Linked DNA regions of Struthio camelus. The protein of the gene in region 1 interacts with the protein of each later gene in a biochemical or structural test. Links are inferred from orthologs where the notes say so. Each region holds a gene or a part of one and is shown in the gene's direction. Other genes may lie near its edges. The genes, in order: TOP1, NKX3-1, SRSF1 and TOPORS.

The links.
Region 2: the proteins of TOP1 (region 1) and NKX3-1 form a complex in vitro, tested with the Homo sapiens proteins (2 studies listed by BioGRID and IntAct). The link is inferred for Struthio camelus from reciprocal best matches to the Homo sapiens genes TOP1 and NKX3-1.
Region 3: the proteins of TOP1 (region 1) and SRSF1 form a complex in vitro, tested with the Homo sapiens proteins (2 studies listed by BioGRID, with this or other methods). The link is inferred for Struthio camelus from reciprocal best matches to the Homo sapiens genes TOP1 and SRSF1.
Region 4: of the proteins of TOP1 (region 1) and TOPORS, one has a biochemical effect on the other in vitro, tested with the Homo sapiens proteins (2 studies listed by BioGRID). The link is inferred for Struthio camelus from reciprocal best matches to the Homo sapiens genes TOP1 and TOPORS.

Annotation. Positions count from the first base shown.
Region 1 is NC_090959.1:7,165,955-7,174,067, forward strand, and holds the start of TOP1 (DNA topoisomerase 1), read left to right. Parts: upstream 1-5,010; 5' UTR 5,011-5,537; coding exon 5,538-5,570; intron 5,571-6,140; coding exon 6,141-6,165; intron 6,166-8,113. UniProt on the Homo sapiens protein: Releases the supercoiling and torsional tension of DNA introduced during the DNA replication and transcription by transiently cleaving and rejoining one strand of the DNA duplex.
Region 2 is NC_090968.1:5,038,149-5,045,616, forward strand, and holds the start of NKX3-1 (homeobox protein Nkx-3.1), read left to right. Parts: upstream 1-4,387; 5' UTR 4,388-4,414; coding exon 4,415-4,796; intron 4,797-6,868; coding exon 6,869-7,251; 3' UTR 7,252-7,468. Other genes in the region: NKX2-6 (homeobox protein Nkx-2.6), read left to right, coding at 1-433.
Region 3 is NC_090957.1:20,532,577-20,540,278, forward strand, and holds the start of SRSF1 (serine/arginine-rich splicing factor 1), read left to right. Parts: upstream 1-4,648; 5' UTR 4,649-5,155; coding exon 5,156-5,349; intron 5,350-5,681; coding exon 5,682-5,866; intron 5,867-6,155; coding exon 6,156-6,328; intron 6,329-6,591; coding exon 6,592-6,786; 3' UTR 6,787-7,702. UniProt on the Homo sapiens protein: Plays a role in preventing exon skipping, ensuring the accuracy of splicing and regulating alternative splicing.
Region 4 is NC_090982.1:18,068,706-18,076,336, forward strand, and holds the start of TOPORS (E3 ubiquitin-protein ligase Topors), read left to right. Parts: upstream 1-4,563; 5' UTR 4,564-4,665; intron 4,666-6,028; 5' UTR 6,029-6,031; coding exon 6,032-7,631. Other genes in the region: sperm-associated antigen 4 protein-like, read left to right, coding at 260-372, 727-894, 1,239-1,328, 2,199-2,366. UniProt on the Homo sapiens protein: Functions as an E3 ubiquitin-protein ligase and as an E3 SUMO1-protein ligase. Probable tumor suppressor involved in cell growth, cell proliferation and apoptosis that regulates p53/TP53 stability through ubiquitin-dependent degradation.

The DNA of each region.
Region 1 (8,113 bases):
ACATTTCTCAATGCAGTAAAACTAGGAGGACTGGCTGAAGCAAGGTGCTGCTTACAGGTTTCTTGCTGCTTCCTCAAGCAGGAGAATAGCTTCTATTTGCTAATAGAAGGGAGGCAATGTGGCATAGGGGAATATAGGTACATGACTGTATTCCATGTAAGGCAATAGTCATATAGCAAGGTACATGTTCCTATGTATGTTAACTGGCTCAGTGAGAAAATGCATGTTATTTACTCCTTAGAAAATGATCCAAAAGTTCTTCTTTTAATCCCCTTTTTATACTGCATACCAACCTTTGCAACACTCCTGGCTTCATTAACCTCAGCAAATGATGGCACCAAACACAACCTTTCTCACAATACAGCACAACTGATACAGCTAGTATTTTCTAACTAATAATTTCTGGGATTTTTGCAAGCTTCTCCCTTTGCAGGTGAAACTCAGTAATTAAGACTGACCTTTGAAAGCTACCACTCACAATGATATCTGCTGCTTCTGCTTAATTTGCTCCCCTGTTGCACATATAAAACTGTGAATAATTGCTATGGTTTATTAAAGCAGAAAATAAAAAGCCCTCAAACCACTGAGATCATCCTGTTTCAAAACATTCAACAGCACATAATAGGTATGAACGTTTTGAGCAAGTTATCCTAATAAAAAATGAGGGGAGTCAGATATCTGCCTGTTCCTATTTTGTACAAGTGTCACTCTGATCTAGTGATAACAGGTCTTCAGGATTATACTGATCTGGAATCCTGCACATCAAGCAGGTCTCTCTGGTTGTGGAAAAATTGTAGACTAGTAATATAGGTATCCTAACTAAAGCTTTTATAAATGATGAATTAGGACTCAAAAATCATGACAGCATCTTAAAAATGAGATTTTGGGGGGTTTAAATGTCTCGTAACTGTTCTTTCACTACATCCTCAGCTGGTAGAAAGCACTGCTTTCGTATTCAGAAGAACCATAAAACATGAAGGTTAGAAACCTGTTGCTGCCTCTAAATAAATGTTGAGATTATTATGAAACAACATCAAGGAAAACAAAACAAGCAAATTTGGACATCCTGGGACTGCTAATAACATCAGAGGAGTTGGCAGCATTGTGTCTCTTCCTGCCCTCTGAATGAGGGTCAAAGACCTGAACTTCTGATAATGGAATCAAAAGTAACAAATAACTGTATATAATCACAAACTTGCTTTGCATTGAAACTTACTTTGTTATGTAATGCATTTTAAGTTGAATATAAAAGGGAATTAATACAAGCAACATTGCAAACAGCTTCTCATGTGGCTAAAGGCAAGGTAATGGTTCCGAAAGAGGGCTACAGAGGGTCCAGGGTTTTGGATGTATAGATTTCATGTCCTGCATGGATCCTAGAGCCTCACTTTTTGTATTTACTTTCAGCTTCTTAGCCCTGAAACAGCAGAGTCTGAGCTAGTTCCTACCTGCTCCAGTGTTCCTGGCTGGGGCTGGCAAGTGACCTACTCTGAGTAGTAAACTGTTGTCGAATAGCCCCACTTGCACCCATCTCCATCCCAAGGCCTAGCAAAGGTGACAGGCCGAAACTGCCGCCCCATATCCTGCATGGAAAGCTGGCGAGTGAACAACCCAGAAGTACAGGCAAGCCTCGACCCAGCTGAGTTGCTCTGGTCTGAGGCGCCAAGGTTGCCCTGGAGCCCGTGCCCTCTGATGCCCAGGGCGGGCGGGCAGGCAGGAGCCCCACTTCTGCTGCGTTCACGGGGGGCGGTGCCCACCCTGCAGCCAAAGCCCAGTGCAGCCTTTGAGGTGACCTTTGGTAAACCCTTTGCAGATGCCCTTGAAAGCCAGGGATCCAACCACAGAGCGAAGGACACGAGTTTGGGGAAGCTGTTTGTCTCCTGAAGTCACTGCTCCAGCTTTTAGAAAGAAGCACTGCAGAAGTGGAGGCTGCAACCACAGTGCAGCCACAAGCCTGGTCCGGCAAGGGGATTTCCTGCACTTACAGATCTCTTCTGCGCGCAGCGTGGGGACACAGGCTGGAGCTCAAGTAGGATTCTACCCTGATTCACTGTGTCGGCTGCAAAGCTGGTCAGGAGAAAGGCACCCGCCTCCCTCTCCCCAAATGGGCACCCTGAGTCTGTTCACAGCAAGAAGCCCCAAGTTCACCAAATCAATCAAATCTCACAGTTCGCCAGAACTGGAGGGTTTCCTGCAGATTTTATATTCAGGATGATTTATGATTTAATTTAAACATGTAGTTTCCAGACGTTTCTTTTTGCAAGCAATCACCTAGGCTACATTAACCTGATGGTGATGTACTGCCATCCCAGGGAGCCCTCAGAGAGAGCGAGCCAGACAACAGCACTCAGAGGTGTGAACTTCCCCCATTTATCTTCATGGGGTGTGCAGTCTTGCCAGGGAAGCAAGCCTAATCATGTTAACCCCCTCACTGCCAGCCTCTGCCACTGAAAGGCCCAGCTATATGGCAGTATGTCCTGTATGGGCCTTTTCCCTCCTTTGCTTGGATCGTTCCTAGCAACAACAGACGCAAGCTTCGCATGAAGCGGGTGTAAACAGTCCGTGGGGGGTTTGCGGTTACGCTCATCAAGATGAGCTACAGATTCCTGGAACGCCACAGTGCAGGTTGCAGGTTTGCAGAGTGTCTTGAAAGCTTTTTTTCCCTCCCTCCATACAGTTTGTTGCAACAGATGCAGCCACAGAAGTGTTACAGTTGAATACACCTTTGAACAAGTTATAAATTCTCCCTGCATCCCATGGGAGACAGAAGACAAAAAGCAGCAGATGGGAAATGATCCTTGGGAGACTCTTGCATCTGGTTTGGATATGGTCATCTCTGCCTAAGGTTTGCTTCATCCTATGTGCAGTATTCACAACAGTGGCACAAGGTTTTTCTTGTCACCACATGGGAATGGTCCTTATTAGGGCCAGAGCTAACAACCTGGGAAGGTCCCTATTGCATTCAGAGCTGTGGTATCTGGCTGTCAGCTGTCTCTCACAGAAAATGCAGCTCTGAGCCTCCTGTGCCACTTGAGGGGTTTCCCTTTTGCAACCAGAAGGGTGTTTGCAAGTGCCTCTGAAGATGGCAGCTGCTCAAAAAGATAGTGATCCTTTCCTCTGAACAGGGCTAGTTGCAGCTGCAGAGCAGTGCAGCTGGTCCTTCCCTTGTGAGAGAGCAAGGACACCTGAGCAAGGCTTCTCGGGGAAGATGCAAAATGAAGTTGCTGCTTCAAGAGAAAGGGCTTTTAGGAATTTCTAATGCCCAGAGCTCGAGGTACCAGACCATTCCCAAGCTGTCCCACATCAGAGGACACAACTGCTCGCTGGTTTCCCTTACACCTCTGCGTGGCAGCAAGGATGGACGAGCACCTTAGGCTGCTCCAAAAGCAGAGACCCCTTCTCTTTTTGCAAGCTAGGGACAAACAGGAGAGGTGTCTCTTAAACAGCCTTTTCATTATGTTTATACTTAAAAATCTTACGGTGACTAAAGCAGTTTGCATAATAAACAGCTCTAGAGCCAGAAATACTTGCCTGCCCTCAGTAAAAAAAGGAAGTCCTCAGATCCTCTTCTGAAGACAGCAAGAAAGTGACAGAGTTTTCCCTTTACAGGATATAAATATGCAGTGCAAATAGGTGGCTGCTGTCGCTGCTTACATTTTGATGTATCGCTTCTGATAGCCTGGCAGTGCTGGATTATTTTAGTGTCAAATCAAAGCCCTGGTTGTATAAAGAAGCCGGGGAAAGGTAAAGCCTGTGCTGCAGCACTGGATGGAAGCTCCAAGAAGACTGGAGGCAGTCCTGTGAGACATGTACCAGCCGTGCATACTAAACCTGCCATTCAGCACACCAGAGAGAAAGCCCCTTTAGTAGACCTGCTGCAGACCTGAAATAGACGTCTTCAGATTTGGGGCTGCGGAGGGCATTTTGGTTTGTTTTTGTAGTGAGGCACATGATTCATTCTCATATTAGCTAAAAGAAAAGAAAGCGTTTGTTTTGTTTTTCCCCTCAGTTTCCTCATGAGAGAAAACATTTAAGGGGCTGTTTACATAAGAAGAAAAATCTTGCTGACTGATTCTTTTTTAAAGCAGAAAGCTGCCATTTGCACCACACCGTTGCTCACTGTCCTTGCCTTTAATCTCAGCTCAAATCCACCCTGTCTGCATGCCTGCTCAGCGTCATTTTTATCTGGACACAGGACACCTGTACAGCACCTAGCACACAGTAATCTTTTTATGGCTACCGCGGCCTCCGAGTTCCACCCCGATACAAACGCGTAGTCAGACTAATAATGAAAGGTCAGCCTCACGCTTAGCCTCTCTACAGGGCAGATGCGCACAGCAAGCACAGCTCGCTTCCTGCCAAAAGGAACTGACAGCCGTCTCATTTTGAAACGCTCAAACTCAAACCACACACATCAGACCACTTATGCTCCCGCAGGGTTTGCAGGAGCGTGCCGTGGACGGGCTGGCGGAGTTCCTCCCGCGGAGGACCGGACTAAGAGACAGGCCAGCCAGGCCCCAAAAGCCATCGGCGGCGCTTCCAGAGGGAAGACGCACACCGCGCGGAGCCGCCCGGCCGGGACGACGCCTTGGGCGTGTGCGCAGGCCGCAGCCGCCGCGCCGGGCGCGGGCTGGGCCGGCGGGAGCGGAGCCGGGAGCCCAAACCGGCCCCGGCGGCAGAGCCGCGGCCTGCCAGGCCTGGCGAGGCGCAGGGCAGGCCCCACGCCGCCCCCGAGGACATCCAGCCACCGGGCGCTGTAACGGGAGTCCCGCGAGGCCCGGCAGGGCGCTCGCGCTGTAACGGCGTCGGTCACCGGGGGCGCTGCGGAGGGGAAGGGCTCCCTCGGCCCGCGGGGCGGCCGCCGGCCCGCTCCCCTCCTCCTGCCGCCAGGGCGCCGCCATCTCCCCCGGTCGACCCCCCCAGGGGCGGGGCCTGCGCCGCGAGGGGCGGGGCGTCGTATGCAAATAGAGCGCGGCTGCCCGCAGGGTGCCACGGGGGGCGCACGCGCATTCCGCGCTCAGTGGGGAACGGGTCCTTACACAATGCGCCGGGTTCCCTCAACGGTGTTGGAGGGGGCGCGAAGCAGCGGGGCGGGGTCGGGTATGCAAATGTTGCTTGCTTCCGTCGCGCGATTGGAAGGGCGGGAGGAAGAGGCGGGACCGGATATGTAAAGAGAGAGCCGGCGTTCAGCGCGCGCGCGCGCGTGGGAGGGGGGGAGGAGGGCAGTGGGGCGGGGCCTGCGTATGCAAATGTAGCCGGCGTCTCGCGCGCGCGGTGGGGCGTGGCTCGGGTGCAAACGCCCGGGCGGCCGTTTCCCGGCTCCCGCCCCAACGCTCTCGCTAACGTTCCCGTGGCCACGCCCCGCCGCTAAAAGGCGCCGCGCCTGCGCAGTGCGCGGAAATAAGGACTTAGTCTGTTACACAACCGGCGGCGGGGCCAGGGGGCTGCGCTCTCCCGTCGCGTTCAGGCTCCGCGCTTCCCCGGCGGCTCGGCTCTCCTCTCCGCTGCGCTCCGCTAGGCCTCCGGCGCCTTCCGGCATGAGCGGCGACCATCTGCACAACGACTCCCAGGTGAGAGCGCCCTCCGCCCCGGCGGGGAGCCCCGCTCCCCGGGGGCGCCCTGCCGCGGGGCCCTTCGCTCCCCTCAGGGTCGGCGCGGCGGGCCCGGCTGGAGCCCTCCCCTCCCCCTCCCACCGCCTTGCCCTCAGCCGGGCGGCGCTGCCCTCCTGCCGCCCCTCAGCCGGGGCCCCCCCGCGGCCCCGGGGAGAGCCCTGTCAAGCCGGGCTGCCCCCGCCGTGGCGGGGCGCCGCCGCCGTTTGTGCCCAGGCGGAGGTGGGGTGGGGGAAGGGACTCGTGAGCGGCCCCCTGCCGGCAGGAGGGGAGGGGGCTGGCGGGGGCACCCCGGAGCCGTGCGGGTGCCGGGGGGCAGCTTCCTGCCGCCCGCCGCGGAGGGCACTCGTGCGGCGGGCTGGTTATTTCTCGCTTGTTGTCCACTTTTCCTAAAAATGAGAATTAAGCGGGTGGGGAGGGGGGAGAGAAACCCCCGCGCGCCCCTTCTTCCCCCTAAAGTGGGGGGGGGAAAAAAACCCGTGCCGGGACGGTGTTTTCACGGTGTGTCTCCCTGTCTCCCCTCTCCCGCAGATCGAGGCGGATTTCCGAGCGAACGGTGAGTGAGGCCGCGCCGGCCGCGCACAGACATGGCGTCCCAGAGACTAAGTCCCGGCTCCTCGCTCACCGGCCCCATTGTTCCCATCGAGCCGCCCAAAGCGCCCCTTTGCCGGGGGCCTCGGCCCCCCCCGGCCCCCTCTTCCCCTAGAGGGGGCTGCGGAGGCCCCCGATCCGCGCCCATCGGCCCTCCCGGGGGTCCCTTTGGGCCCCGTTCCTCCCTGGAAAGTCGCCTTGTCGACGGTCGGGACTTAGTCTCTGCGCCATTTTCTTTTTCTCCTCTCTGCTGTGTGGCTTTCTCTGCTTCTCCTCCTCCCTGAGCTGCCGAAAAGGAGCCTCCCGCAGAGGAACCCGGCACCGATCCCCGGCCCACGGCCCCTTCTGAGCAGGCACAAAAGCAAAGTTTTTAGCTAAAATAAACCCCCGAGCTGGTTTTTATCGCAGCCTCCCTCTCCCCCCCCTCTACTGCTCCCCTGCTCTGTTCCTTTCAGGGAATCCCTCCCTTCCCCTAAAATGAAAGGTGATTGCAACATGTTGCTCTTTAAAAGATTCTGCTGCATCCATTTTAAGATCACTCTTATTTCATTCCTTGCTGTTTAATTGATGTAACTTTACATTTTGGGGTGGGGCTTTTTAATTAAAAAAAAGCAAAGATTAAAAAAAGATAATATAGACAATTCCAGAAAGGTAGACAGCATCACTTCAGAAAGTTTGCAAGTTGACTCTTTGTTTTGGTTAGAAAGGTTATATACATACACATATGTGTGTCTATATGTATACATAATTATGTTTTTTAAGAAGCTTGACAGCTACCGACTTTTTTTTTTTTTTTGAGTGTTGCTGCATTTTTCCAGGAAGCAAATTCTTTTCCCCCCAGCCTGGTACATGGCAGATTTGGGGGGAGGAGGAGGTAAAAACCTACCTTTGCATGCGTGTGTTATTGTCCTACTGATGGGGTTGTCTGAGGAGCTCAGAGCTGTCCCCTAACTGTTGAGGTGGTAGAGGACAAAAAGGTTTGAAGAGAAGATACCTTAGCTTGGCTAAATGCATTCTTACAGCAATACTGATTTTCAGCACACCTTTCTGCACAATGTCTGTGTGCCTGGTTGCTTTGCAAGCTACTGCACGTAAATATTTACAGATCCCTGTTTGTGTGCTCCTCTCTTTCTCTTATCCATTCATTGATGTGATTGTGTATGTACAATAGGAGCATGCGGTTTCAAATCTATAGCTTTTAAACTTTTCTTTCTACTCTGAAGCTACAGTAGGGCTCTATGAATAATCCTTAGCAGAAGAAAGGGAGGAAGTGGAGTTCCCTGAAAATGCAGTAGGAATTCTTGAAACAACTTAAATGCAAGCATGTATTTGAATACTTGTAGCCTTATGCTGGGAAATATTTGCCAAAGGGTCACTGCTATTTCGGGAAAAGTAACCCCTGAAAAGCTTCAACTACTTACTGGTTTAAACAGGGGAAGTGATGCTTGTTCAACTATTCCATTCCAACTTCTAGTGAACATCTTAGGAGGGTTTTTTTCTCCTTCATTATAACTATATGCTGCTTTATTCTTAGGACGGTTTTAGGCATACAGCGCTTAAAACTCCTTCAATTCTGACTTCTACTATGTGTTGGAGGAAGTCATTACACAGATGTAAAGTAAGACATCTAGATGGAAAAAGTGTGTTACTGGTGAATCAAACACACCGAACAAGTTCATACCAGTTTAGGTATCAGCGCTCTTTTCTTCCTATTGTATTTGCCCATTGAATTTATTTTTATGGCTGTCATGAAACATCATTGTGGCTGATCAGAGGCTCCTAAAATCCAAAATCCTCTTCAGTGATGAAAGCTGTGTGTAACCCTTTTAGTTTTGTAAGGGAATAATGATGAGTAGACACTGTCCTCTCTGACCTTGGGCCAAGACTGATATTCCTGAAAACCTGTCACCTCC
Region 2 (7,468 bases), on another chromosome or scaffold:
AAGGGAACACCTCGCCAGCCTGCTCCAACTCACCTCCACGCAGGTGAAAATCTGGTTCCAGAACAGGCGCTACAAGTGCAAGAGGCAAAGGCAGGATAAGTCCCTGGAGCTGGCTGCCCAGCCGCCGCCGCCGCCGCGGAGGGTGGCCGTGCCGGTGCTGGTCCGGGACGGCAAACCCTGCCTGGGGGGCTCCCCGCCTTACTCGGCCCCGTACAGCGTGGCCGCCGGCCCTTACGCCTACAGCACCTACTACAGCACCTATAGCTGCAGCCCCTACGGCGCTAACTACGGCTACGCCGGGGGGCTGCCGGCACCCACCGACACGGCTCCCGCCAGCCGCGTCGCCAACACGAGCTTTGGGGTGGCCAGCGCAGCCCCAAACCAGCCCCCGCACTTGCAAGCCGTGGTGCAAGCGGGGATCAGGGCTTGGTAAGCGGCCGCGGGAGCCAGGATGGCGCCGCGGGAGCCGCCGCGGCACGGCTTTCCCCGGGAGGGGAGCAGTCCGGGGCCTCCGGGGGTTTCTGCCACCCGGGGCGGTCGGACGTGCCCTGCGTGTCCCCGCCGGGCCACGGCGGGTCGGGAGAGCGGGCCGCTCGCCTTCCTCACTGCGGCTTTGGGGACCGAACGACCGCAGGTGCTTATTTATTTGAGGACAACGGGCCCGGAGCCTGGCCCTTCCCGCTCCCACCGGGGTTTGCTCCTTGGGGACGCCAGCGGGCAGCGCTGGGAAAGCTGCTCTTCTTCTAAGGCGACCGGAAAACAGGGTCTGTGCGCATCACTGTGCCTTTGCTTTTTTAATGAACACTGTATTTAATGCTTAGAGTTTCTCTTTAATCTTCTGAGATATATTTCTGATTTATATTTCTTAATATCTTCCCAGCACCGATTTTCATTTTTGTTGATATTATTATTACTATTTACAATTAAAAAAAAAAAATTGGTGAAAATGTGCGTTTTCCCTCTCTCATCGCTCTTCAAAACCTAAGGTTTTGACTTTTCCCAGCCACAATTTGCATCTGAGTGCCAGAATCTGATCCAAAGCCAACACGGAAATCCATCTGAACACTAACAAATGACCCAGAAAGGATATTGCCCAGCGGTCCAAGCACTGCAGCTCCCAAAGTTTAACCTCTGTTGGTGAGTTCCCCCCTCTCTAAACCCTGGCAAGTCTTTTAAGGTCCCGGTTGCTATTTCCTTATTGGTAAAACAGCTCAATATCTGCTTAACAGCTGATCTGGGTGCCCCAGATCCGCATCTGGCTCTATAGGCATCAAGCCTTTTGATGGGTAAAAGGAATACATATACATTCTGTACACACACACATACGCACACATATGCACACACCCTTGTACGTGTAATGCTGAAGAGCCGCATGGCCTTGCACGGGGCGAGGGCTGGGGCTTCACAACCCCGACTTCTGCGCTGGCGTCGGGGCCGGGGAACGGGAGACGCGCTCCAGAGAGCCACCCTTGCCGTTTCGATTGTTTTGCAGAGAATTTTTTCAGGCGACTCTTCCCGTCGCAGCGTGGGCTTTGCCTTACCTTTCTTTTTTTTTTTTTATTAGTTCATATGCTTTTTGAAAGGAAAAACCCACTGCTCGAATGATTACTTTTCCTGCCCATCACAACGCCCAGGCAGGAACTAGGATCCCAGCAGCGTCACTGTTACTAAACCCCGACGCTTCCAGCCTCGCCGTGAGAGCAGCAGGGCAGGCACGGTCCTACAGGCCGCTTCTCCTGCCACGAGTTTGTGAGGCCTCTCTCAGAGCACCTGCAGCTGCCGGCGTTAGCGGGCGCTGCAGGAGGCATCAAAGGGGAGCACAGCCGATACCCTGCACAAGCGGGATGAATCCGTGAGTTACACTTGCTCAACTACCCTGTTAAGGCTATTTTGAGAGCTTGGCCACGAGGGGCTGCATTTCCCAAGGACTTTGGCCTGCACAGGGCGAATCGGAGCTGCTGCAGCCCATCGCGCCTTGCAGAAGCAGGACACGCTGAGGAGCCGCTGCCTCCTTCCTCGTCCCCCTCTCTTCCTGCCGCCTTCTTACCCTCCAGGAGAGGCTGGCAGGAGGCCACTGAGGTTTTACCGCACACGGCCCCATCACTCCAGCTTTCGCTCGCTTCCCCGACGGGCCGTACCTGACATCCAAACCAAAGGAGAGAAACCTGCTCGCGCCCCCGCCGCGGACGCCAAGGGAGAGCCAGCGCAGCCAGCAGCATTTCCAGCACCGGGGCTGAAGCGCGAGTTTAACAGCGCCGAGCACGCCCGGGTTTTTTTGCGTTGAGGTTCGACAGCAAAACGAGGCAAGAGCAAGAGGCTCCAGGCTTGTGCTGGAAAATAAGAAATTATTCTGCCCACATTAGAAATTACCCACTCTGCCAGCCACTACAAAACCGGGAAGATCTGTCCCAAACACGCCTCCCCCCCCCAAACCGGCCAACCTTTGCGTGGCCAGCCGCAGGGGGCTTGCACGAGGCGAGAAACGGCCGCGGAGGGGTGTTGCAGCAAGGGGCTGCAAGCGCAGCATCCCTGGCCACGGCCGGCCGCCAGAGCCCGTCCCGGACGCCTGCTACTGCTCACACCGAGGGCTGCAACGGGGCGAAAACGGGCCTGGCCGAAAAAGTGCCGTGCAGCCAGGCGCGAGGGGTCGAGCAGGCGGATAGGAGCGGCGCTAAGAGCTACGGCAAAGCTGTCGCTGCAAAGCCGCGGTGTAGCAGAGCAGCCCCGCGATACCCCGATGCCCCTGGAGAGGGGCAAACAGCCCAGCTGCAGGCACAGAAACCCTCCAGCTACGTCTTCTGCTCACACGCTTGTGCGGCTGCCTAAAAGCCCAAGTGCTCCGGCGCGCAGCGGGGGAGCGTGCACCGAGCTCCTAACGTCTGCGGCACCTGGGAAACAACCAAACGCCCCTACTGCACCTATTGCAACCTTCGTCCTCTCAGAGGTTGAAACAGCAACGGTGACGGCACGAAAGGACGGAGCTGAGCAAGGGGACAGAAGTAGCCGGCTCCGAAATGAGGCACAGAGCTCGCGCAGCGCTGCGCCCGCAAGGCACGGGGGCATCGGCCGCACGGTCCTGCCCGTGAGCCCTGAAGCATGGCTGACTTCGCTGCAGCTCCTGGTGCAGGTTGTGTCTTCTGGCCCTCTTTGCAAGGCAGCCGGTGGGCTTCGGAGGGTCTCGCTCCTTGCTTTGCCGGCGCTCGCCGGCTGGCTGTCAGCTCCGCTGCGACACAGGTAAGGATGCCTGCCAACGTCGCCTACGGGGCCCAGGGGGTGCTGCCGCGAGCGAACGCGCTTCCCGGGGGACACGGTCCCAGGGCCAAATCCTGCTCTGCCCGGGGGCGTCCCCCCCCGGCTCGCTTGGCCTCGCTTTGCCGTGATTTTTTTTTTTTTAAAAAATCACGTGCTGGACACGTTTGCGGATGTGGCTAGGGATTTTACGTGCAGAAGGGGAATTTGTCGTGAAAACAGAAACTCTAGGAGTCTGACGCATCGACGGCACGTAGAGCGCGGGTGCTGAGGAAGGGGCAGGCGCGACACAGAGGGGGCGACCGGGGCGGCGCGGTCCGGCCGTCCCCGTCCCGCTGGGCGCCCTGGAGCCCGGGGCCTCGCCGGGGCCGCGGCTTCTTACGCAAACGCTGTCCCAGGCTACAGGTGGCTGAGGTCTCGCGCTAAAATTATGCTTAATTTTTCATGCTAACGCCGCCGGGGGCCCCTTCCTGTGCAAGCGAGCGAGACCTCTGCCTCCGATCTGCTCTCCCGCTCCATCGTGCCTTAATCCGCATCCTGAAGCCCCTTCACAAAGATAGATGAGGGGGTCTTTAACATCTTTTTCTCCTTTTTTAAACAAACTGAAAGTTCAAAGTGAAAGTTTTGGAAGGAAACCCTCAAAACCTAGATAAGAAGAAGCTTTTTCCTCTTTTTTTTTTTTTTTTTAACCCTCTTAAAACTCAGCATTCCCACGGAGCTCTAGGGCCGGCCCGGAGGACACGCAGCACCTCCCCAGCTGGGAGCAGGCAGCGCGCGGCCGGCCCGGGCTGGAGGACGGCATCGTCCCGGGACGGGAACGCCGCCCCGGCGCCCCAAAACCCCGTCCGCAGCGATGCTCCGGCTGCCGGGAAGGAGGCAGCGGCTCAGGGTTATTCCAACCGCCGGCGCCGGGAGCGCGAAAGCTCCGGGGGGATCGGGAGGCGGCGGCGGTGGCTGGGATGCGCCGCGCTGCGGGGCCGGCCGCAGCATCCCGGGCAGCGGGAGAGCTCCCGGGAGCCGAGCCGGCGGCGCAGGGCGTAGGCTCCCGCCGGGATCTCCAATCAGGCCCGGGAGGCTTGGCTGCCGGCTGTATAAACGCGGCGCCGGGCGGGCGGGCGGCCAGAGCGCTCCGGGCAGGGCGAGGAGGAGGAGGAGGAAGAGGAGGATGAGCGCCGGGGTGCTGCCTCCAGGGAGGCCGGGAGCCCCCGGCAGTGCCGAGGCGGTGGGAGGCCAGCGGCACCCCGGGGACCCCAACCCGGCCCGGCGGCAGCCGGCAGCGGGGCCGAGCCCCACGCGGGGCCGGCAGACCATGCCCGTCCTCTCCAGGCCTCTGACATCCTTCCTCATCCAAGACATCCTGCGGGACGGAGCCGAGCGGCGGGAGCTGGACGAGAGCCAGGGCCGCGGCGGTGCCGGCGGCCGAGGGCTGGGGGAGCCGGGGGCGGCCGAGGGCCGCGAGCGCCGCTCGGCTCCCGGGGGTGCCGCCGGGGACCCCGGCCTGAGCCCTCGACCCGAGGCAGCGTCGCCGCCCCGCCAGCCCCACGCAGGTAAGGGCAGCAGCCTCGGCCGGGCCGCGAGCCAGCGTCGGCGGCGCGCAGCTCGCCGGAGGGGCGTAGCGTCGGGGCAGGATCCCAGCTGCGCCCAGCACCGAGCCCCGGAGCCAGACTACCGGGGCGTTCGAGGATATCCGTGCTTTAGCTGCGGGAAAGCAACCTGGGCATCAAAGACCATCCCCGCTTCCACCGTGGGAAACTCAGAGGAAGAGCAGCCGGGCGCGTAGCTTTAGCCAGGCTCTTCCAGTAGCGCCCGGTACCGATGCTGCCTAAAACTCTGCTGGAAAAAGCCCGCTCGAAGGATTTCTGTGCGATCTTGGCGGAACTTAGTTCCCTTTTAATTCAGACCCCCCCCGCCCCCGTCAAAGACGTAGCTTGTGCCTCAGCTTTTACGCCGCCTTCGGCGCGGCGATGCAGCCGCAGCGGGCGTGCGATGCCTCCGGTGCAGCCACGCTTTGAAGTTCTCCGTGTTGCATTTATGCCCTTTGCCGTGGGGCTGCTTTCCTGGGGGCTCAGCACCGCTCCCAGCACCCTGCACCTCGCCGTGTCCCTGCCCGTCACTGACACGAAGCCGCTCTGGCGTTTTTATTAATCTTTCTAGCATTGACCCGCTAAATTCACTGGTCAGAATAACATTTCGCTGCAGAACTCACATACCGAAAAAAATCACATGCAGAAGCAATTTGTTGAATGGTGCCTCTGGCGCACCAAGAGCCCAAGGGCAGAGGGAGCCCCGGGCAGGGGATCGGCGTTTCCCGTCCTGCAGCGCCCCGGGCGAGCGGGCCGGGTGCTGGGCTTGGACGGCCAAAAGCAACGCTGAGCTCTCCAGCGACCGCCTCGCGCTCGCTAGCGGAGACCTTGCCAGGGGAATTTTGGCTTTGCGTTTCGATGCTATTAAAAGAAGCTGCTGCACAGAGCAAATTCGGAAACATTCACCAGGCTGGTTATTAAGAAAAATCATTAAGCCCCCAAACCAGCTCTTGCAGAATGGAGCTGGTGCCGAGCAGCACCGCTCTGGGGATTTCAGCGGGACTGGGATGATTTACACAAGCTGGGAATTAAGCCCATTGTTTCTATCTTAGGCATTATGTTCACATCTTAAGAAAATATACTAAGAAATAACCAAAGAAGAACTTGGCCTATTTCCATAGCAAGCTGAGTAATACACCAACAGGAACTAACTCCATAAATAAATTGACTTAAAAAGTTTTGATAGTTGCAGGTGACACTTCCCAGGGGCAGGAAGAACACGTCCACTTGTATTTTTGATCCTCCAAGGCATCTTTCAGGCTATGGTTTTTTGGTAAAAAGAGCCCACAGCTGAGAAATGGAGGTGAGCCACTAGCTCTGCGGCGCTCTGCGCGAGCTGTGTGCGCTCAGCACCTTCCCGGATCACAGCTCGAGTGACTGAGCGATGCCGCGGGAAACAAGCCCGAGGCAAATCCCGGGCTGCTGCTTTGGCACTCCGGCTGTGGTCCGAGTCCAGCTCTGCGGCTGCGTACGATGCAGTCAAGCCGGTCCTGAAGATTTAGAAAGCCTCGAGACAGCGCCCCAAAACTTCCTGGCATTGCCGCGCGGTCGGGAACAAGAGGGAAGAGGGGAGTCGCTTTCAGTGCTTTCTAATTGCAGGCGGGTTTAAGCTGCACTGATTTTACGTTTCTGAGCTAGAGTTTAAGGAGAGGAACATACTTTTTTGTGGAGGCCGGGATCTTCCCGTAGGCACAGGCGAGGGGACTTTGCAAAGAAGTGCCCGGCATCGCGAGCTCTGCAGCAAAACCCCCAGAGCCGCCAATGCCGTAACAGTACCTGGGAGCGTCAGGCGGGCCTCACCCGCGTGGCAAAATGCCCCTCACTGCGTTTTTCTTTTTTTCCCCCACTAAATATTTACTTATATGAATTAAGAATCTATGATATTAGGGGGAAAAAAAGAAAAAAACCTTAGGCAACTTAATGCACTGCTCCACTAACTAAAAAGTGGCAATATGAATATTTTGTGCTTTTGGAGGGGGGAGGAAGAGTAATTTGGGCAACTTGCAGAGGGTAATTCTCACCTCTTTGCTGGGCAGCGGCGGCGGCGGAGGAGCCCTGCGCGTCGGAGCGCGAGAGCCCGCCGGGCGCCCCGCGCTGCCCTCCGCGGACCCCCCGGCAGCAGAAGCGCTCCCGCGCCGCCTTCTCCCACAGCCAGGTCGTCGAGCTGGAGCGGAAATTCAGCCACCAGAAGTACCTGTCGGCCCCGGAGCGCGCCCACCTGGCCCGGCACCTGCAGCTCACCGAGACCCAGGTGAAGATCTGGTTCCAGAACAGGAGGTACAAAACCAAGAGGAAAGAGCTGGCGGCCGAGCTGCGCGGACTGGCCAAGCCGCCGGCCGGCCCGCTGCCCCTCGCCGGCGCCTGCCGCTACCTCCCCTGCCTCTCCTACCTGAGCGCCTGCAGTCCCTCCTGGTGGTGAGCGCGGCCCCCTTGCCTCTTAAACAGTTTTTTTTTTTTTAATGCTGTGTTGCTTTTTCTCATACTAATTGGGGATGGGGGTGGGGGGTGGGAAAAAGGCGCTTCTGACTTGGTTCACAGCAACGCTCGGCGCCTAGCTGCCATGCGAGCCTTTCTCACCACCAACCGTCCGGGGTTATAAAACGCAAAAAAAAAAAAAAAGCAAAAAAAGGCAAAAA
Region 3 (7,702 bases), on another chromosome or scaffold:
ATGGAGTTACGGACAGCAAATGCCAGTCTGTCCAGCATTCTCTTCTGGGCTGGCTTTTCTTGTTTAAGTCTCTGTACCTACGTTTGTTCTTTCAGGCTGGCTTTCAGCAACAATTCACACAGTCGAAATGCATCGTGATATCGCAAGCCACGTGCTTGTGCACTTTTTTACCTTATGTATGAACCTAAATAAATAAAATGAGCTCTACCATCATCCACATTTAGGGGAAATATTTTCAAACCTGCACATATTTTCATTATCTTACCAAGATACTCAAATTTTGTCTGAACAATAAATAACTCCTTCAGTTTCTCTCACTTCCGAAATAGCTACTTAGGTTCTCTCCAATAAAAGTAAAAAATGCAAAATGTAGTCTGATGTTTTAACCACTTGCATTCTCCAAAATAAGGGGAGGTTTTGGCCCCCTCTCCTCGTTTCAAATAATGAGCCACTCTTATTAAAATCTACTTGGGCAGAAAATAGACTCCTCAAGGTCCCATTTAATCTTTCATTTCAGAGCACTCCTTTTATTCCACTGGAAAACACTACTGCCATCCTTCTATGCCCCCCTACACCACAGATCTTGGCATGAAAGACTAGTGGACCCTACTCACGTTCTTACCAACATTGCTGTGGAAAACTAGTGACCTATACTCTCAAAAAAAGAAAATAAATCCTGCCAAACACTAAGCATTGTCACTTTGGGGAAATACTTGAGTCTCAAGAAGATGAGATCTCAAAATCCCACAGAACTGCTCCATGTTACCAGCTCTGCCCTGTTCTATGCAAAGAAACATGAAAAAAATCTTGAAAAACTATACTTTAAATAAATCTTACAAGTAGTCCAAATTAGATTTTCTTCCCGAGGTATCTATCCCAAGTACTACTGTGTATATGCACCAGAACAGCAGTCTGAATAATCATTTTCACACTCTGCACGCTCCCATTCAATAGAGTATTTTTAACCAGTATAAAGAAAACTTTTCCTCAATAACATTTTTATGTACCAATGAACATCCATTGACGAGAAATCACGGACAAAATCAACTAATATGTTTTTGAAACTTTTTTGCACATGCAAATTAATAACACTGATGACAATGAAATCATTCGGCACTGTTTAAAATTGAAGGCCCCTCCAAATATTAACTTTATATTTCAAGCTCCAAAGACAGGATCCATGCATTTCAGTATCTGAGCTTTGATAAACTTATTTTACAACAAAGTAAGATTACTCAAGACTAATCCCAGCTGGACCTGACAGTACTAAGGAGGCTGCCAGTGACTTAGGAAAAACAGGTTCTCACTGACATAGCAAGAGAAGCTGCGAAGGTCACGAAACCGGCCACTCCGAACTGCTACCGAAGCGGTCAGGCGCCGCCTACGCTCGGGGCCGCGAGCTGTGTTCCCTGCTCTGTCGCTAGCTCTCTTAGGTGGTCTTGGGAAAATCGCTCTGCTTCCGACGCCTCGGCTTCACCGCACATGACAATGAATAATGACCCCATTATAAAGCGTTTTAGTATTTTGCATAAAAAGACCCACCTCAGGCATTGGCACGGTTATGCGAAAAAGAGTGAGAGTGCATGTTAACACAATGGGAAGACTTCTGAGAACGAGGGAGAGAGAAAGGAAAGCTGTGAGAACGGCAGAAAGAGCTAAAGCAAACGTGCTATTTTTCTTTCTGTATACGAGAGGGCCTACAGCAGACTAAGAAGCAATTATAACAAATCGTACTGTAGCGTACCTCTATCTGGCAAGCTAGGTACGTGCAGATACTCCTGATACTGGGTTACACGGTTAATATTTGCTTTACTGATCAATATGCTCAAATTGAAAGCCATGCTTTACATTACTCTCATTTTGAAAACTAAAGCCTGTTATTCCACAGTAGTCCGTTTTTTTACAAGATTATTTGCCATTCCCCTCCTGGTAATTTATTTTCTACATAATTAATAACGTTTAATGATTCTCCACAAGCACACTTTGCCAGAAAGCCAAAAGTGACTCTGACAAAGCAAACATGTTTTGCAGCTTATCCAACTGTTTTAAAGCTATCTGTTGGTAACACAAAGCTAAAAATGCAATGAGGAAGAAAATAATCAATAATTCTATAAAGAGACACTTCATTATGGTAATTAAGGCAATGATTTAAAGTAGTTATGAGGATGATTAACACACAAAAGAAATTATGCAATAGGGTTTTAGCAAACCAGGCAGACTTACTACTATTTTATGATGCCTTACAGAGTAACTTTCAGCAATTTAATAAGCTTTTGAAAATAAAGACTAATTTCTTGTCTCTATACCTGGAAAGAGTATATTCTCAGTTTGGGGGGGGGAATTTTTTTAAGTATGCATTAAGTATTTCTACTGATTTGGTAAATGACTAAATTAGCTTGTCAAGTTATGCTGGTTCAAAAGATGTATTTACCAAGAGTACCCAGTGAACTTACGTACGTGGCCTAGAACCACATGGGTACTACAGTCACTGCTTCATCAGTTCATATTCTGGTAGAGTTGTGAAACGGTAATATTCTGTAAAGATGTAGAAAATGTCCAGATAGTGGGTAGTTTACACTCAGAGAAACCACCGCTTCTGAAGATGGGCTTTCTTTTAACATCTTTCAGTGATTAATAGCAGTCTTTTATCTAAACCACTAGCAATCTAACGTAGTTATTACCAATGTTAAAAATCATTAGAGTAGAACATATTACTGTACTTTAACCTACATGAGAGAGAAATGAAAGGCATTCATAATAGTCAAACGCATTACAACATCATACTGGAAATATTTTTCTAAGTCATTAGGACCGCTGTTTTCTAGAGGAATATGCATTTGCAATTAGTACATGAAAAATGAAGTATGCATGACAGACACTACTAAAGAGGCATGACACATTTTTCAAAATCCCCTAATTAACTCAGGAGCCTAAAGGGTTTTTCTGCATATTCACATACTATTTTAACCCTACCACTGTAGTTACAGTGATACAACCTTCCCTGCACCATGTGGACTTGCTTGAGCTGTTATGGAAGATACTACAGAAAGATAAATAAGGGACACGCAGCCTAGCGTTTGTAACAGTACAACTATCTCAGCTGCTTTTTAGGTCTCCCTCCCACACCTGATACAGCGTGTAGACCAAACGAAGAATCTCGTTTCAAAAGCAGTTTGTGATGTGAACTCCGAGCAGCGAAGCGTGGGCAAAACAAAAAGTCAGGGTGGGTTATGGCGAGGTGGGAACGTACCAGGGAACAGCTGCTGCGCTGTAAGGGTTTGCATGCACGCTCTACGCCCTACGCAACGCACAGAAACGTGCACTGTTTACTGAGGGTGCGCTAGTTCGCTTGACCCAGGAGAAAGACTGTGCCCACAGCTACTCGCCAGAAAGTGATGGCCTCCTCCAGCAGTAACACCTTCCTCAGTTTATATTCTTGGACACACTCTTAACAAGAGTGAGACGCAATACCTTTGAGAACCGGACACATTTTCTAAGGTACTTTTGAAATGGAGGCTTGAGATTTCACGTCATTTTATCTGCAGCCTTCCGAAAACCTGCATGCCAACACAGCCTTAAACATCAAGGAGGGACTGCTGGCCAAAACAGTATTATGTTTTTAAACTGAAGTTTGGGTCATCTCCTCCCATCCTCCCTAGTAAGCAGCAGTTTGTACGCTGAACAGTAACACCCACTGCTTTAATAGCTCTTTCAGGACTTTGTGACATACTAGAATATATTGGTCTTTAAAAACGACTTTACGTGCATGACAATCACAGGAACATAATAGTGCTATACATTTTTTTCTTGCTTCTTCTATAGGACTTTATTTTCTGCCCTCCCTTGCATGCATTTCTCATGCATCATAATCTCAAAGCATCCTCATTTGAGACCTACAGTTCCCTGTCTCCCAAATGCTTTTTTGGCTCCTTCGCTTTTTAAAATTCATGCAGACTACAAAGTCAGGCACATCTTTTAAGGTCTGTTTTGTCCCTCTTGCTTTGATCCTCAAACTTATAACACTGGGGCTTTGATGGCTGATTCTTAAGAGGCAGCTGTCCTTCCAGAACAGGATAGCAATCAGTGGGCACTCTGAAGAATGTCGAATTTAGAAAGGGGAAGGCTGCAGGGACCAGTTAGTAAAAAAAAAAAAAAGAAAGAAAGAAAGAAAGAAAAAAATCAGCCCCAAGCTGACTGAACCCCAAGTTCTGACTGGATTCCCCCTCCCCAGGACCGGTGAGGACGGTGCTCTCAGGGCCGAGGGCTGCAGCCGGGCCGGGCCCAGCCCCGCTCCTCATCCCCGGCAGGCCTCCTGCACTGCCTCGGGGCGGCCATTTTACCTCGGGGCAGCGCAGCGCTCTGCCCCTCGGGCAAGCGCCGCTCAGCCCCGCCGGCAAGACCCCCCTGGCTGGACCCCCCGGGCCGGGGCACCCCCAGCCCCGCTCCCCGCGGCCGGGAGGCCAGGCCAGGCCCGGCGCGGCCCCGCCGAGGCCCGCGGCCTCCCCACCGCCGCTGCGCCGCGCCCCGCCGCCCCCCACCCCGGCCGCCGCTGTGCATTGTGGGACACAGCCCGCGCCTTGGCGCCAAGCGCCCCCGCCGCTCCCCGCGCGGTGCACTGTGGGACGGGCCCCTCCCCTGCCCCCAGCCGGGCCTTCTTTGCGTGGACTCCGCACCGGATGTGACGCCACCGGCCTGCCGCCGTGATAAGCGCGGCCGTTGAAGGGGCTCTTGCCCCAAACGCGGGGAGCCGGGGCTCCCTGAGGAAGGATTTAGCTCGCCGCAGCCCTCCCACCGGGAGCTGCGCTGCCGGGACTGGCCCGGCTTCTTAGCTGTAATCGCCGAGAGCCAAAAAAAAAAAAAAAATAGCGGGACTACTTTTTCCTGCCGCGCATGCGCAGGAGGGCGGGGTGGGAGCGCGGCGGCGGGAGACGCGGGCTCGGCCGCACTTGTGGTGGTAAAGGCGGTGCTGCGTCCCGGGGTGAAATCGCTGCGCGCAGTAGGACCGCGAGGGAAGCCGTGGTCGCCATTTTGAAGCGGTTGTTGGGGGAGGCGGCGTGTGTGCGCTCCCGTGTGCCCGGCTCGGCCCCCGCGCTCGCCGACCCGTCCGCTCGCTGAGCTCCGGCTCTCCACCGCCGCAGCCATTGCTGACCTTGCCATGTCCGGAGGGGGCGTGATTCGCGGCCCAGCCGGCAACAACGACTGCCGCATCTACGTGGGGAACCTGCCCCCCGACATCCGCACCAAGGACATCGAGGACGTGTTCTACAAGTACGGCGCCATCCGCGACATCGACCTCAAGAACCGCCGCGGCGGGCCGCCCTTCGCCTTCGTGGAGTTCGAGGACCCCAGGTGAGGCCCCCGCCGGCCCTGCCGTTGGGGTAGGGGGGGTGGGGGGCCCCCCGCGTGTGCCCACCCGCGGCCTGCTGGGGAAGGGAGAACCGCGACGTTTCCCGACCCCCCCCCCCCACAGCCGCCCCAGCGATCCGGGGCACCCGCCGGAGCCCTAACGGCCTCCCCCGTGCTCTCCCCCCGCTCCGTGGGGCGGCCGCGGCCCGCGCGGGGGGAGGGCGGGGTGGGGCCGGCGGGAAGCGGGAACAAAGGCGGGGGGGGGCGGTGCGTGGGCAGGGCGCGGCGGGTTGGGCGCGCTGCGGTCGGCGCTCACCGCCCGTCCCGGCCCGCAGGGACGCGGAGGACGCCGTCTACGGGCGGGACGGCTACGATTACGATGGGTATCGCCTCCGCGTGGAGTTCCCTCGGAGCGGCCGGGGCACCGGCAGAGGCGGTGGCGGCGGCGGAGGGGGTGGCGCCCCCCGGGGCAGGTATGGCCCCCCGTCCCGGCGCTCGGAGTACAGAGTGATCGTCTCGGGTGAGTCCTTTCTCTCTTTCTCTAGTTAACGCGTTTCCCCCGGGGGTCCTCGAGGCGGCTTCGCAGCGCCTGGTTTCCGTGCGGAGCCATGCCGTTCCTGCAGCTTTTTCCCCCCCTTAAAAAGCATCCCCCTCGGGTATTCTGGAAGCAGTGTTCACAGCTTCTCAAGGCAGCCTTTCTCCTTACTGAATAGTTTGTCTCACCTGTTGTGGCATGCTATTGTATCTAATATCTAATACTGTATGATAATGTAGTTCATTTTTCAAGTAATGTATTGCCTTTTATTCAGGGCTGCCTCCAAGTGGAAGTTGGCAGGATTTAAAGGATCACATGCGTGAAGCAGGTGATGTATGTTATGCTGATGTTTTCCGAGATGGCACTGGTGTCGTGGAGTTTGTACGGAAGGAAGATATGACCTACGCTGTGCGAAAACTGGATAACACTAAATTTAGATCTCATGAGGTAGGTTTCATGCTTATTTTTGGGCCAGAATTGGATACAAAGGGCTTAACGATAGGATTTGAAGGTAAGGATGTGTGGTTGCCATTGTACTAATACGCAAAGCATGTAAGCTAAGCCCGTAGTCAGTTTGTCGTAAAATAGACTTTAAAGACTTGATGTCTATTTCTGTGCTTTGGTAAACAATATCTTCAGTCTGTCAGCATGCCTAAAAAGATGGCCGTAAAGCCTAGACCCTTCAATCGAAAGTTCTGTCTATTCAATAGGGAGAAACTGCCTACATCCGTGTTAAAGTTGATGGTCCAAGAAGTCCAAGCTATGGAAGATCTCGGTCACGCAGCCGTAGTCGTAGCAGAAGCCGTAGTCGAAGCAACAGCAGAAGCCGCAGTTATTCCCCAAGAAGAAGCAGAGGATCTCCACGCTACTCTCCCCGTCACAGCAGATCCCGTTCTCGTACATAAATGATCACTAGCAATGATCTTTTTGTAGAACCCCGTGTTGTACACAGTTTTCCTTTACTCAGTACAGTCTTTCATTTTTTAATTCAAACTGTTTTATTCAAATTGGCTGAAGTGTTGAATTGCATTCTTGTGTAAAATCCCTAGTGAGTATTTGCTCCTTAACATCAACATTCCCCTCATGTCTTTGGTAAATTGTATTTTAATTGATGTCAGTCAGGATTGTTTCAATTTAGTTATAGTTAACTACCAACATTCTTCAAACTGTGGTATTGCTGTGTAAATGTCTCAGTGTTCGGCTATGGTTTATACAAGCTGGGGATGTTGGGATGTTTGTGGCTAACTTGTCTCTTCTGGGGGATCTTATATTTTATCTTGCCTTTTCGTGTGTCTTTCTGTAGACATATCTGAAGAGATGGATTAAGAATGCTTTGGATTAAAGGATTGTGGAGCACATGTCAATCATTTTAGGATTGTCAAAAGGAGGATTGAGGAGGATCAGATCAATAATGGAGGCAATGGTATGACTCCAAGTGCTATTGTCACAGATGAAATTGGCAGTATTGACCTTATACTGAGAGACAGGTTAATTGAGTACATGCACCTACTTGTCACTTCTTCAGGCATGTTTTAGTTCCCGCAGACTACAATTGCTCTTTTCTTTAAAACTTTTTTGGCAATTGTGGCTAAATACTTGCTTTTGTAATTCTCTATTCCATTCTAGTTTTTTAAAGGAATAAACCGGGACGGGGTGGGAGTACTGGTTTACTTTGTCATGCAGCATTTGGTTACAAGTGTTAATGTTATGTAGTATTTGTACACTTGTAGATAAAGGGTACCTTCAAATCAGATAGAGTATAATATCAATACTGCTAAAATCTGCATGTCCTCTGTGTGACTGATACAGCGTTGCTATTTC
Region 4 (7,631 bases), on another chromosome or scaffold:
CGCTTTGCTCTGCCGTCGCTCCCACGCGGCTTTGCTGTCTGCCAGCACCTGCAGGGCTGTCTTTTCCTGCCGCTGCGAGAGACAAGCAGTGGCCAGGCCCAGGGAGCCCTCTTTGCCCTGGAGGGGCACCTAGGCACCAGCACGTGGGGTGCTGAGCGTGGCAGTGACAGACACAGCTGGCAGGCAGGCAGAGTTGGAAATGCCCTGCAAGCACCACGTCTGTGGGGTCTTGCAGTCAGCAGCTCCGTCTCCCCTTCAGGTGCCACCATCGATCTGCAGAGAACATCCAGCAGCTATGCGTGGGAAGAGAGTTGGCTCTGCAGGGCTTTTTGGTGCTTCTACTCTCCAAACCCTCCAGATACTATTTTGCAGGTATTGTAGCAGAAGTCATCCATGCTGCTTCAGTTCCTTCCTGGGCAGTGGGTGACAAAGCCCAGGGGATCTCCCCTCTGGCCAGCAGGGTTGCTCAAGGGCCTGGCGGTGATCAGGTTCCTGACACCAGAGGGTTGACTTGCTAGTCTCCCTCAGGAGCAGGACTCAACCGAACGGAACTGAGTGGCCGCATCCTGCCCACAATCCCTGGTCATAGCTGGCTGAGGGAGTTTCTCCTTCGAGGCCCATTTGCCTACCTCACCTCCGACAGGCCCTTTTCAGAGGGGCTGGGAGGTGGCGGAGGTGGCCTGCCTCGCTCCCTCACCATTCACTGCTGTGGCACTCTGCTTTCAGCCGGACGTTTCCCCGGGACAGTGCTGGCCTTTCCAAGGGTCGCAGGGCCAGGTGGTCATTTGGCTGCCTGCACGGATACAACCAACCGCCATCACCGTGCAGCACATCTACAAGGCAGTCTCTCCATCTGGGACCGTCAGCAGTGCCCCCCGGGATTTCACTGTCTCTGTAAGTCTCTGCTGGGCTGCAATGAGGCCGTGGGGAAAAGGCAGAGCAGGCACTCGCTTGTCTTGGGGCATCCGCTGGGGTTTGGGCCTTGCTCTCTCGTAAGCACTGCCCCAAGAGAATATTTCAAGGGACGGGGTGCTTTTCTCAAGACCTGCTCGGTGCTTTTTGGCCGTGCATCTCAGGGCAGTCAACCCCCCTCACGGAGGAGTCTCAGCTTCACACCATAACCTGTACTACACTACCGCTCGAGCCACGGGAGAGGGCCGGCGGGTAACAGGTCCGGATCCAGCGCGTGCGTTTCCCCGTCCTCAGGCGGAGCCTGACCCTTGTGCTTTGTCTCTCAGGGAGTGGACGAGGAGGGAGAAGAAGAAACTCTCCTTGGGACATTCACCTACGACGTGGGAAAAGAGGCCCTTCAGACCTTCCCCCTGAAGGTACAGTAAGTGCGTGTGGGCAGAGACCAGGCAGGAACGTGGCTGTGCCCGCACGTCCGTGGCAGAAAGAGCATCCACAGTTCCTCCCCGGGGGGCAGAGGGGCCAGACCCACAGCCGAGGCACAGCGGGGTCTGAAGGCGCACCAAGCAGTGCGCAGCGGTGGCAGCAAAACAAGAGCGAGGGCAGGGTCGCGCCCATGGGAGTGCAGGACCCTGGAGCTCCCAGGCTGCACCTGTGGCTTTCAGCAAAGCTGGTTGCACGCGGGGCCTTTCCATCAGCACGAAGCCTGCGTGCCGGACGGAAAGACAGACATCGGGCAGCGAAAGCCAGACGGCAGCTCCATCGAGCTGCGGCAGCACCTGGCAGCAGGGTGGACGGCTTCCCTGGGCTCTCGCTCCTGCCGGGAAGGCCAGCCGAGGAGGAACCGGCTGTTTGGAGGGGTTGATCACCCAGCTGCCCCACGTGCGGCAGCCCCGCACCAGCCTCTCTGCTAGCACACAGGAAGCAGCAGCGGGAAGGGGCAGCAGCAACGGGGACCGAGCCCAGCCAGGGCAGGCGGTGGCAGGCAGGACGCAGGCGCCTTCCCTCCGCAGCAGGACTTTCCCTGTGTTCCTGGCAGTCCTGCTGGCAGCCCGCCTCACACGGCCACAGCTGCTTTCACCCACTCTCGGAGGCCACGCACACGCCCAGAGCCGTCCTTTGCAGCCCTCGCTGCAGAGGGGAAGAGGGAGAGACAAGCTGTCCACCTCAACCAGGGCCACAGCTTGGCCCTTAACAGGGCCAGGGCTGGCAGAGGGAGGGCCCTGCGGTGTACTGTCCCTCTTTGCACCCCACTAACCACGTTTCTTCTTCCCACGACGTCTCTGCAGGAGGAGCTGTCCAGAGCCTTTCAATATATAAAGCTTTTTGTCCAGAGCAACTGGGGGAACCCGGAGTACACCTGCATTTATCGAGTGCAGGTGCACGGGAAGGTGGCAAGCCAGACCTCATCTCAGGAACCCAGAGACAGCCTGCGACCCCTCCTCAATAAGAATTAAAGACATGAACACAAGAACAGGCAGGCCCAGGCTAATGGCAGCGTCCAGCAGCACAGGAGCCCTGGGGGAAGGGCAGCCCCAAGGCAGCTCCCCGGCCCGGCCCGGCCCGGCCCGGCCCGGCCCGGCCCGGCCCGGGGTGCTGGCAGAGGCCGTGGTAGCGACAGGACCGGGGTACACAGCAAGGACCCAGGGTAAGAGCAAGGTGGGGAAGGGCAGGCAGGGGCCACCCCATGGTCCGGGGAAACAGCACGGCCCATAGTTTTACACAGCAGCCTGGGAGAGCAGCAGGGCAGGGGAAGACAGAAAAGCCGGGATAACGGCAGCCCCAGGGTCTCGGCAGACCCGGGGTAACAGCAGCCCCACCTAACAGCAACCCTAGTGTCAACGGCAGCTGTGCCCTAACGGCAGCCTCGCCAGCACCACGCTGATGGCGGCACCACCGTAAAGGCAGCTCTGTGTATCGGCCGCCCCCTCTCACAAAGCGCCACACTCTCCCGTGCAGTCAAATTCCCCGCGATTCCCAGCAAGCCTTGCCCAGCTCCTCCAGCTGCGCAAACTACAGCCAGAAGAGGGGCCGGACTTGGGGAGGAAAGGAGCACGTTTGTGCGGGGTGCGGGGAGCGGAGCACCTCTGCAAGGAGGTGCTCGGCACTGCTAGGCAGCTCTCCCAAAGCAAGAGCACGGGCGGTCGCTTCCCTTCGCCGCCCCCGCAGCCAAGGCAGAGGCTTCTCCCTCCGCAGAAGTGCGCACAGAGCGCGCCAGCGCCAGCGCCTGCGCTCCGCGGCAGCTGAAGCTTTCCCCTGTGGTTCGTGCTCTGCTGCTTGTGCTCGACACTCAGGGAAGCTGAAGTGCTGGTGGAAACCTGGCACTGCTGGTGCCAGCTGTGTACACGAGAGGACACTGGCCACGCTTTGTCCGACTGCACCTGGGCCAAGGCACTTCAGAGACCAGAGGAATCGCTCCAGCCACTTCTGAAGGAAGAACCTGGGGGGCATCGCTGCGGATGAAACCTTCATTTCCTCCTTCAGCAAAGCGATGCAGGATCTGCTCACATCCCAGCTAGCAATAAAGCTGGTTGACAGAAGACTCTCCATCCTCTTTCTTCCGACCCGGACACAACAGACGTCGCAGCCCTCTCAGGAATGCAGCACAGCCTAACCCTCCAGTCAAATTCCTCCTGCGGCTGTAGAACAGTCCTCTAAGTGACAGCCCTTACTGCTCCCCTCCGTGCTCCCGCACGCTCCTCGTCCCTGCTCAGTCCTAGAAAACACTCTCTTGGCTTTGGCCTTCAGGTGCAGTTTGTACTGGCTTCAGCACAGGCCACGAGCTCGGCACGCTTGGTGCCACGCCAACACCTCCTGAGCTCTTCTTGCTGCTCGGCCAACAGCCTGTGCGTCACCACCTCGCGGGACAGCTGTAGGAGGAGAGGCCGCGAATTAGCACAGCAGAGGCAGCATTCCCTGCGCACCAGCGGGCTGCTCTCTGGCCAGTCGTCCTCTGCACACACAGACAGAGGGACAGTTTGGGGAAAGGGAGCAGCCGCCCGCCAGGAAGGGAACGCTGGCAAACGCAGCAAAGGGAAGACGGGTGCCGCCGTACGCCGGCCAACGACAGCTGCCCGTGTTTGGCCAGGCCGCAAAGGCCGTGCAGACCCCGAAGACCCCTCGCGCGTGTCTCCAGCGGGCAGGCACGGCGCTGGAACCCCCCGCAGCCGCCTCCTCGGGGCCGAGGCAGCCTAAGGGGCCTCTCTCGGCCTCTGCCGCGGCGGCCCAGCGCGGCCGGTCCTGCTGCTGCCCGCGCGGCCCCGGCGCTCAGGCGCGGCGCAGACAGCTGCTGCACCAAGCGGCCTCGCTCCGCCGCGTCCCGCCGGGCAGCGGGGGCGCGAAGACGCCCAGTCCCTGATCCCGGCCGCTGGCAAGCGACGCCAAGCGGGAGCCCCGGCCCGGCCCGGCCCCCGCCGCTCCCGCCCGCCGACAAGATGTCGGCGCCGGCGGCCCCCGCGCGCCGGAAGTGACGCTGCCGCGGCGGCGCCCGTCTTCCGGCCCGGGGCTGCGCAGCGCCCGGCGCTGCCTCGCTGGCGGCGGGGTCCCCGGGGCAACGCGCTGCCGCCGCCGCCGCCGCCGCCGCCCATGTCCGAGCCGCGGCGCCGCCTGGGCGAGAGCGGCCGCCGCCGCCACCCCGCGGGGGACCCGCGCCGGGAGGCTGCCGGCCACTGCCCGCGGCGCCAGCGGCTGAATGCGGCGGCCGCGGCTGCGGCCCGGGGCCCGCGGCGGCGGGCGGCCGAGGAGGCCCCGGCGGCGGTGAGTGCGGCCGGGCCGGGCCGGGCCGGACCGGACCGGGGGTTGGCGCGCGGGGCGCTGCGGTCGGCGGGGGGAGGCGGGGAGGTGCGAATCCGTCTCTTTGGGACAGGTGTGCCGCGGGATCCCTTGTTAATGAGAACGTTGTTGGGAAAGAATGAGGAAACCGTCGCTGAAGTGTGAGGAGGGAGGGAGAGGGAGTCCTGCCTGGAGTCTTCGGAAATGCCGGCATGTTTCAAGTCCCAGTAAAAACTTGCAGCGCTTTAGATTCTGGTTGTGGTGGCAGAGGGAGGGAGGCCTGGAATTGCTTCCGTATTTTAAAAATTATCTGTTGATATGTGCATGAGTTAAATCGCAGCAATTCATGTATTAGTTTCAATTGGCAAGAATATCTTCATGGTTTCCACAAAAATCATAATTTGCTGTAACAGTACAGACTAAAGAACTTAGTGCAGGCATGCTGCTAGTGATCTTTTGTATGTATTTCGGGGGCTGCTTTATCTGACTGTCTACTTCTACCTACCAACCATAAATCTTACTAAGTGTGTCTGTTGCTTTTCCTGTTCATTTTTGATGCATCTTACTCTGTAGAGACCTTCCAGCAGAATAGAATACTCCAGCGCTGACTGCCAGGAGAACTGCCCCAAAGATACAGTGCCAGTCAGTTACCCATGTGCTTCATCCCTGAAGAGCTTTGTAGACAGAGTCTGCAGCAAAGAAAGAGCAAAACAGTACAGTGGGGAAAAGGTGTCATTAGTAAAAGAAGAATGTAGAGTTGAAAAGCAAAACAGTGGGCCTTTCTAAATGAGAAGAACAAACACCAGTGTCAGGACTGAATGTCTAAGAATGGGAAGAATATCAGTGTTTTGGGGGCCAGTACTGATCAGTTGCTGAGGTTTCTGGTATGTCCACCTCCATAAGTTAATAGCTATTTTAGGAGCGCTGAATACCTGGTAGCACAGGCTTCTGCCTTCCTCTAAAAGAGGTGGTGGTGCAAATGAGAACTTCCACTGAAAAACAGAGAGGACAGTTGTGCTCTTGCTAGGGAAGATAGCTTAGTTTTCTTCAATGGGCAGAGCAGGATTTCTAGAACTGCAGTTCCTAAGCCTGGTCAATTTTCAGGGTCATGCCTTCTTCTCTCTATCTTGGGAAAAAATTTAACCGTGACATCTAACTTCTTGAGGGAAGCAGTAGCCTGAGGAGAGGCCAGAAAAAGTAGTTATATCATTGTGGTTTTTTGTTTGACACCATATCGACCTTATGTTTTTTACAAACTAAAAGAAGGATAGCAGAGGTTTCTTTGTCTAGATATTCACATCCTTTCCTCTCAGGAAGGTAATGATCTTTTTGTGTTTGTCTTTTGTAGAACATGACTTCAGCAGAGTTTGCAGTGGATAGCAACTTTTCACCGAAAGCTAGCACAAGCAAGCTGCATCAGACAGTGCCAACAGATGCATCTCCTGACTCTAAATGCCCGATCTGTTTGGATAGATTCGACAATGTTGCGTATCTAGATCGTTGCTTGCATAAGTTTTGTTTCCGTTGTGTCCAGGAGTGGTCAAAAAACAAAGCAGAATGCCCACTCTGCAAACAACCTTTTCATTCTATTTTCCATACAGTTCGTGCTGAGGATGACTTTAAAGAGTACATACTCCGACCATCAGAAAATGGCTCTTTTGCCAGTCCTGATGGCCGGAGATTTCGTTATCGTACTACGTTGACAAGGGAACGTCGCACCTCATCTTACCATCGACACACTTCCTCTTCCCGAAGGACGCTGTCCCCTCCAGATAATGGAATATTGTTTGAAGGGTTATCAAGCCAACCAGTGCGGCAGAGAGATGGAGAGATTCAGCAGATGATAAGGAGGCTCGCCTCAAGGAGGCAGGCTAGTGCAGAAGGCAGATCTCTGCGGCAGATTCAGGAGGAGGACATGATCAACTTCCGCAGAGCTCTGTATCGCACTGGTGTGCGTGTTCGTAGTATTCAGGATGGTGGCCGCTATCGAGATATTTCAGCAGAGTTTTTTCGCCGGAACCCTGCTTGCCTTCACAGGTTGGTTCCCTGGTTGAAGCGGGAACTTACAGTCCTATTTGGTGCCCACGGATCTTTAGTTAATATTGTACAGCATATCATCATGAGTAATGTGACAAGGTATGATCTGGAAAGCCAGGCCTTTGCTGATGATTTAAAGCCGTTTTTGCTGAATCGGACTGAACATTTCCTACATGAATTTGTCAGTTTTGCCCGGTGTCCTTTTAATTTAGAGGCGTATGATCAGCATGCCAATTATGACTGTCCTGCTCCATCGTACGATGAAGGAAGCCACTCAGACTCATCAATTATTACAATATCTCCGGATGAAGCAGATTCTCAAGGTCCAGATCACAGTTCATCCGTGACTGGTATTGATCAAGCTCCGTGGGATGATGAAACTCCAGGGCCCTCATATTCCATCTCAGAAGAGGTTCATGCAACCATAGCTTCTCCTTTGGAGACTTCAGAAAGTTCTGATGAGGACTCTGCAACAAAGAGAACTGCAGTGCAAACCCAGATACAGGCTAATGCTGGTTCCAATGACAGTGACTCTTCTTCAGACAATTGTGTTATTGTTGGGTATGTTAAGCCTATAGCTGAGAGGACACCAGAACTGGTTGAGTTGTCTTCGGACTCTGAGGAATCAGTCAAGGAAGAGAAAAGGGAAAATATCAAGAAACAGCAGCCAATCCAGTTTCACAGTTGCAGTGACAGTGAACAAAGCCCGAGTTCCTCACCACACTCTCCTATGTATAACGAGAACCTAGGTAGCTGTAAAAGCTGCTCATCCCCTGCAGCCGAGAAGATGGAGTCAAAAGAGGATGAGGACAAAAGTAAAATAAAAAATTTATCTCCACAGGAATTGATCTGGAGCCCCTCTTCAGGAAGGGACAGGATGTGCTCTCCTTGTAATCACAGACTGTCCAGAAAGA